Linked DNA regions of Mus musculus. The protein of the gene in region 2 binds, or shares a complex with, the protein of the main gene of each other region. Links are inferred from orthologs where the notes say so. Each region holds a gene or a part of one and is shown on either strand. Other genes may lie near its edges.

Region 1 (4,107 bases), on a different chromosome or scaffold from region 2:
TTTAGACCTGGTCTGGTTGGAAGCTTGAAGTGTCTTTTGTATCTTCTAAGTGTATTTACTTGTAATTGGTACAAATCAACCTAGAAAAAAAAAATAGATGAGTTAGTTCACTCTGTTGAAAAGATATCATTGATCTGTATTATGACACTTCACACAATGACTTCATTTACACACTCAGACCTGTACTTTATTAAACAGTTCCATCTTTGGGGGATACATATTGTAAACTTCCGGAGAAACAAAAGAGGAAGTTGTATGTCAAGAGCTGTAAGAATGTCGTCTGAGATTTAATATTAGTATAAATACATCTTCACTGACTGTATATAACTTTTGAGATTTTTCAGATGCTTTAAACAGTTAAAGAAGAGCTCAAATATTTACAGAATGGTGTTGGGATTGCCAGCATGCTTATGATTTACATATAACATGGGGAAAAGCCTGCCATCTACCTCTGGAGTGTCGATGTCCTGAACAGGCGAGTCTCCCCCATCATCATCGCTTCCTTTCCTCTTCCTTCTGTTCCGAACGCTCTGAATTAAGTTCTTATGATAGTCACAAATGTAAAGATGCCTTGCCTGTAAAGGAAAAATTTTCAAAGACTGTGAGTCCAGAAAAACTGCAGCTAAGTATTAGTAAAATGCATAGGCCCAGGTGGCTGACTAAAAATCATCTTAACAGGCCACTGTTCAGAAGATGCAATGTTTCTTTCCACTATTAAAATGTTGTAACATTAGCAATCTGGCGATACTGTTAAGGAAATGGGGGAGGGGAGGAATTGGAAGCGGTGGGCGGGCGGGTAGTATCTTGGAGAAGGCAGGCAGGCAGGAAAGGAAGAAAAATTCCAATTCTCTGGGTCTTGTCATCAAATTGCAGGGAAGGTGACCTAAATAAGTTAGCTCCTGCTGATTTTAACTTAAAAGGGAGAGGTGGCATTGCCCACAAATTTGTCCTTGTATTTTCTCTAGCTTGAGAGCAGCATTATATTACTCGTAGGTACATGCTTTCTGATTGATCTGTTAGATAGTGAAATTCTACAGGTACAAAGTATGCATTTCTTTACAAATGCAACATTGAATTCATATCCTATGTTTAAATTTGAACCCTAAGGTTTCTTTTTAAGGATTAAGCGAATATATTTCTCTGTATTTTGTGTTTTCAATTAAAGCAAATTATTCATGTTCTCTTGCAAAGTTTCTCATGGACCCTACTGAGAAACCTGCCTAAACAGAATCACAAATAAACTTTTCAAAAAAATTAATTACTCGGGGATTTGAGAGCTGTATATACAGTGGACTAGGAAATACTGAGCTGATTGACACTCTCCCCCCCCCCCCTTTTAAGGCTACAATTAAAGGCCGAATGAACAGGCTTTTAAATTGACTTCTAAGCTAAGGGTAAGTTAAAAATATACAGGATGTCTGGAGGTTCTGTATCTTGTTCTTCCTTTGCCATCAGTCAGAGCTCTGAAAAGTAGCAATGGAATTCTCTGAAACCTCATAGCTGGCCAAAACAGCAGACGTGCATAAAGACAGAAAAAGAAATCCCGATGGCTGCCGAGAGGGCTGTAAAACCGCAGAGGCTTATTTGCAGCCTTGGTTCGGAGCAGCTGCCCGAAGAGCTGACACCGCAAACAACGTTTACAATCATCTATCTCCCTGTAAGGCAACTGGTGAGCTCAGCTTGCTTGTCTGTGTTCAAGAGAAAGAGAACAACGAGGAGGAAAGAAAAAAAGAAAAGACAAAAAGGAAAAAAAGAGAGAGAGAGAGAATTGTGGGGTCCAGCCAGACTCTACTTTCCCTAGAGGAGCGAAGCTGCTCCCTAGGGCAGACACCGGCTCTGGCAGCAAAACAAAGGCGCCTCCATTCCAGAAGGGACTGCCCGGCTGCGAGAAAACTACTCCGGGCCCTCGGTGCTGCGGTCCCCTTTGTTTCGTTTCCAGATCGCAGCAAAGGAGGAAGAGGGAAGCCTGGCGTGGGAGACACGCGAGGCAGCGGGAGTCCGGGCGAGGGGCGGAGGAGCCCCGCACCACTGCGCGAGCGCGCGCTGGGGAAGGTGGCCGGAGTTGCAGGGACTTTGTTTCAATCAGAGAACCACTAATCCCACCTGCAACCCAATCCCCGAGACTCGTGAACCCCGCCAACCATCCGGCGAGGCACGCAGGATAGGGCAGGGCGGTCCCTGGGCCACTTACACTCTTATCCAGCTCGATCTTCACCTTCTTCTGAGAGATGCTCTTCTGGATCCTTTTGCTGAAGCTGGCGTTGCCTGCCGCGCGCCCGCACCGCTCACCGTCCTCCCGCAAACAACAGAGTTGCCCAGGGCCGGGACCGGCCGCTCCAGGTGGCCCAGAAGCTGACACTGCACCGGCACCGGGTACCTCTGCCCCACCGCCGGCTGCGTTCCCATTCCCCGCCGAGGCGGCGGCAGCCGCAGCAGCGACCACCGCGGCCACGGCGGCGGCCGCGTCCCCGCCTCGGCTCATCTCCTCCGGAGTGAAGCCGTTCATGTCTGCCAGTTCGGGGGCGCCGGCGCCGCTACAGAGCCCCGCTCGCCGCGCCGCTCCGCCTCCTTCCCCTGGGCGGCCGTTCACTCCGCACCCCAAGTCTGGTGGCGGCACGGTCCGACGCCCAGAGTCCAGGGCCGGCCGGTCTGTCGGTGCTGGAATAGCTACCAGGTCCTGTGACTGTGATCAGGAGTGAAGTGGCGCCTAGAAAGGAGACCCCACTCACTGTCACATGGAGACTTCAGCAGTTGGACCGCAGCTCCTCCGCCTCCTTCTCAACCCCAGAACCTGCGCGAGGGAGACGCCCCTCCTCTGGCCCCGCCCCACACCTGCCGCGCGGCCCCACGGGAATGGTAGTTCTTGATCGAGGAGCTAACTTGCGCTCTGTTCTGATTACGTGCGGGACCAGCGGGACAAACTACTCATCCCAGCATGCGTCGCGTGGCGAGCCACCCCTAGTTTTTTTTTTTTTCCATTCCAAGCACCGGGCAAGTCTGACTGTGAGGTCAGGCTTTTACCGTGTTTTCTCGCCTCTATTCTCTCCTGCGAGCAAGGGCTGGTTTTAGCTCCTCTTGTTTCGCAAAGTTAGTGTTCAGACCGCCAGCTGACTCCTGGGAAGAAGCATTAATGGTGTGTGTGTGTGGGGGGGTGGGGGGTGGGGGGGGGTAGTAAGAATTAAGTGAGAAAAAGTTTACGGGCTGTTTGGTATTTATTGAAAGAAAACTCGGGATACCTAGCGCTCTTTAGGCGGAGAGTCCTTCATCTCCATCTCCATACCGCAGCTGACTTCTAGAGCGTGGCAGGTCCTTGGCATACTCGTGTGCCGACGGGTTGGCAGGCATCGGGCTGCTTGTCGCCTCTACTGCCACTTGGATTCCTTTCAAACGGATCTAAGAGGGTTTAAGACCATTTAAAGGAAGCACACTAGTATCACGTCTGCAGACTACTCATCAAAACTTAGCCCTGGCTGTAGGGGACGAGGATCGAGAAACCTCTTTTCTTGAGTCATATGCATGCGTACATGTGTGCTTGTGTGTGCCGCGGGTGTGTGTGTGGGGGGGGGGGGGGTTGCGCGCGTGCGCGCCTGGGTACGTGTTTGTGCTCGCGTAATGTGTATTTTTGCCTGTGCCTGTGGTGGGCGGGGTGGAAGAATGGGCGTGGCCATGCCAACCCTGAACCTCTGATAATTATTAGACTTAAGCTTAAGCAAAAATAATTTATTTCAAGTGGAAGAGTTTTGAGAAAGCCTGTTTTAGATTCAACCAATTCAGTGACGATTATATATATATATATATATAATCGTCACAGAGGTCATGAAAAACTTAGGCCCAAGCTTTCACACCTTTAATCCAAAGAGACAAAGCCAAGCAGATTTCATTGTTCAAGACCAGCTTGGAACAGAGCAAGTTCCAAATAGAGAAAAGTTTAAATCCAGTCATGGTAGAACATGCCTTTAATGCCAGCATTAATGATACAGAGCCACACATATCTCTGAGTTCAAGGTCAATATTCAGAGCAAGTTCCAGGACAGCTAAGCTTAGGCTGGGAAGGAGTTGGAAAACATAAAGTTGGTAATAGAATAAGAAGGGGCCACATTCCAGCCT
Region 2 (3,500 bases):
GTATAGTCTGATAATGTACTATAAGGTTTTAAAGCAGGCTTGAATGAAGCGCACTGTTTGTAGGAGGTAAGTCATTAGAACACCCTCTCACACCAGTCCTTGCCCTGGTCAGTGAACCTTAACAAGCAGGAGGCAAGCAGGAGCACACACAAGCTTATGCTTTCCCCGTACAGAGCAGCCTCACTTTTCTCTCGGAGCGCCTTTCTGCCATTCAAACTTGTACTCGGTCTCTCCTTCCGTTTCTTCTTTCTACAACAGTCAGTAAAAAAATCTGTCAACTGTCCATAAAATCACAATCAACTACCGATCAATTCAAACAGAGAAAAGTACTTTACCTCTTTGTTTTCTTGATTGCATATTCAAAGCACAGGAGGGAAACAGGACAAGTTAGAATGTCTACTACTTATCACTGACGGATATAATACAACACTGAAATATCGTTCAGAATAGGCAGTTTAGTTCCTAATTTTTAAGCTTTTATGTTTTCACTGGCAATGAGTAGACTTTCCATTTGGAGATTTATTTTAATAAGGACCACAGGTATGTTTACATTATGAGAGGGCTGAATGTACCTCTGCCAGTATTGAGCATTTTCCTCCAAAGCACATAAGAAACATTAGAAACTGTTTATTTTGCTTTGCACATGACAACATTGTTAGAGCAACAGCAATGGAAAAATACAAATCAAAATTAAAATACTGTCCCCTCTTCTAACTCTTTACAGGTAATTACATCAAAGCTCAAAGGAAACGAGGCGGGTACCTTTCTTAACTCCTGGTGGGGCCTCGTACATGAAATTCAGGCCATTCTTCACACGTTCATCTCCCATAAGCAATCTGAATGAAATAATGATAAAAGTTTAAGTCGAGAAGAATATGACAGCACACTATCTCTCGGAAGGAACCCTGAAGAAATTAAGACAAACCCTGAACAGTGCCTCCTTACTAGAAACTTGCCATAAACCTGAGGCTCCCTCCCTCCCTCCCGTTCTCTCAGTAAGAAAGGAAAAGCATGGTATGGTTACTCTAACAGGATTTTCTTTAAAACTGTCAACTGTTGCTGAAATAGTTTTGAAATCCTGTATGCTATTATATATTTTGGTGCCACAACCTTTAATTTTCTTTAAAAAATATTTAGTTTTTTTCTTTCTGGCTTTTTGAGACAGGGTTTCTCTGTGTAGCTGTGGCTGTCTGGGAACTGGAGTTGTAGACTAGGCTGGCCTTGAATTTACAGAGACCTATCTCTGCTGGGATTAAAGGTGTACATCACCATGGTCAACTATTTTAGTGTTGTTAATTGTGGATTGTGTGTGTGTGTGTGTGGGGGGGTGGTATGTGTGTGAACGTGCATGCACGTGGAGGCCAGAAGCTAAGGGTGTGTGTGTGCTTTTCTCATCCACTCACCTTATTTGTAAGTCACTGTGTGGTGTGTAGAAGCATGTCTGCATGCCTGTGAACTCAAAGGACAGATTTGTGCAAATAGCTCTTTGCTTCTATCTCTGTGTGAGTCTTAGGGATCGCACTGCCTTTACCCGTCTGGCCAGCCCTCCAGCTTACCTTTTAGACATGGTCTCTCAATAAGCCCGGGGTTCACACTGACTGGACTAGAACAGTAAACCAGCAAGCCCTACCTCTAGAGAACTAGGATCAAAGGCACCTACCACAATTTGGCTTTTTATGTGGGGGCTGGGAATCCAACCTTAGGTCCTCATGCCTGCATGATAAACATTTCACAAACTGAGGTAACTTCCCAGCCCAGAGAACCAAATTCTCTAACAGGCTAATACAATGAAAGCCTCAGACGTTCTTAGATTTTTGGTAGCAATTGAAATCTCCTTCTGTAGACTGTGTGCACAGCATGCTGTTGGGCTCTGTAGGGAAAAAGTCCACTGCAAACAGGATGACTATGCTGAGTTACACATAAGTCCCTAAGATCCAAGGTAAGTATTAAAAAAAAGCTAAAGTATGGAATGTCTTTGTATTTGGAAAGACAAGTCAAAGGATATTCTACATTATTGTGTGTAATTCTCTTTTCTCCATGAATTCTATACCAAAAAAGTCTGTTAAAAAAAAAACACAGAAGAACATACATACACATCTTTATTGAGGATTATTACTATTTTTATTATTATTTTAGATTTATCTATTATACATAAGTACACTGTAGCTGTCTTCAGACATACCAGAAGAGGGCATCAAATCTCATTACAGATGGTTGTGAGCCACCATGTGGTTGCTGGGAATTGAACTCAGGACCTCCGGAAGAGCAGTCAGTACTCTAACCACTGAGCTGTCTCCCCAGCCCATAGAATATTATTTTTAATCAAGAGGAATGTGCACTAGTGTAAGTGGTGGATGATCTTCAAAAACATGTTAAGGGAAAGAAATCAGGAGCCCTAACACGGCTCAGAGGGTAAAGTTGCCACCACCCAGGACTGCTGGCCAGAGTTCAATCCCTGGGACCCACATATGTGAAGACAGGGAGTTGCTTCCCACCAAGCTGTCCTCTGACTTCCACATGCGGACCAAAGTCCTCATATGCCACTACACACACACACACACACACATACACACACACACATATAAATAAATATATTTTAAAAATTAAAATAACAGCCAGGGCGATACAGAGAAACCCTGTCTTGAAAAAAAAATTAAAATAATAAACCAGTCACAAAAGACTCTGTAATCATTTGCCTCATGTGTGCATAATTTTAAAAACTACACTGTTATAGGTAGAAAGTAAAAGGTGATTACTTGTAACAGGCAGAAATGAGGTAAATTAAGAAATGGGGAAATGACTCCTGTGGAGGTTTGAATAGGAATGGCACCATAGTCATGCGTTTGAATGCTTGGCCACAGGGAGTGACAGTCTTAAGAGGTATGGTCTTGTTAGAGTAGGTGTAGCCTTGATGGAGGAAGTGTGTCACTGTGGAGGTGGGCTTTGAGGTCTTAGATGCGTAAGCTACACCCAGTGGGGTATACAAGTCTCTTTCTGATCAAGATGTAGAAGTCTCAGCTCCTTCTCCAGCACCATGTCTGCCTGCACGTTGTCATGTTCCCCACCATGACAATAATGGACTCAACCTCTGAACCTCTAAGCCAGCCCCAATCAAGTCTGTCCTATGTAAGAGTTGCCTTGCTCACAACGTCTCTTCACAGCAATGAAACCCTACCTAAAACAGCTACTAATGTGCATCAAATTTCTTTTTCAGATGACAAAATGTTTTGAAAGTTGATATGGTGATGGATTACAAACACTAAACAAAGTTAAAAATTCAGGTGTATTTTAAATATCTATGAATTTTGTCTTAACACCATTCAACCTTTTTAAATCAAGTACATGAAAAGGTTAGTTTCAGTAGACATTGAGAAATACAAATGAAAACTGCAAGCTACCACTCCATACTGATCAGCATGGTTGCTAATATATGGGCTGAGATATAACTCGGTTAGGAGAATGCTGGTCTGACACACGGGAGCCTGTGTCGGCTTCCTAGT

Evidence for each region. The genes of interacting proteins can lie anywhere in the genome.
Region 1: Cir1 (region 2) and Sap30 share a complex: the UniProt entries of both Homo sapiens proteins name them as parts of the histone deacetylase complex. The link is inferred for Mus musculus from reciprocal best matches to the Homo sapiens genes CIRSR and SAP30.

What each region holds. Positions count from the first base shown.
Region 1 is NC_000074.6:57,485,061-57,489,167, forward strand, and holds the start of Sap30 (histone deacetylase complex subunit SAP30), read right to left. Parts: upstream 2,801-4,107; 5' UTR 2,507-2,800; coding exon 2,192-2,506; intron 576-2,191; coding exon 450-575; intron 81-449; coding exon 1-80. UniProt on the Homo sapiens protein: Involved in the functional recruitment of the Sin3-histone deacetylase complex (HDAC) to a specific subset of N-CoR corepressor complexes. Capable of transcription repression by N-CoR.
Region 2 is NC_000068.7:73,306,093-73,309,592, forward strand, and holds part of Cir1 (corepressor interacting with RBPJ 1), read right to left. Parts: intron 837-3,500; coding exon 763-836; intron 347-762; coding exon 336-346; intron 250-335; coding exon 185-249; intron 1-184. UniProt on the Homo sapiens protein: May modulate splice site selection during alternative splicing of pre-mRNAs. Regulates transcription and acts as corepressor for RBPJ. Recruits RBPJ to the Sin3-histone deacetylase complex (HDAC). Required for RBPJ-mediated repression of transcription.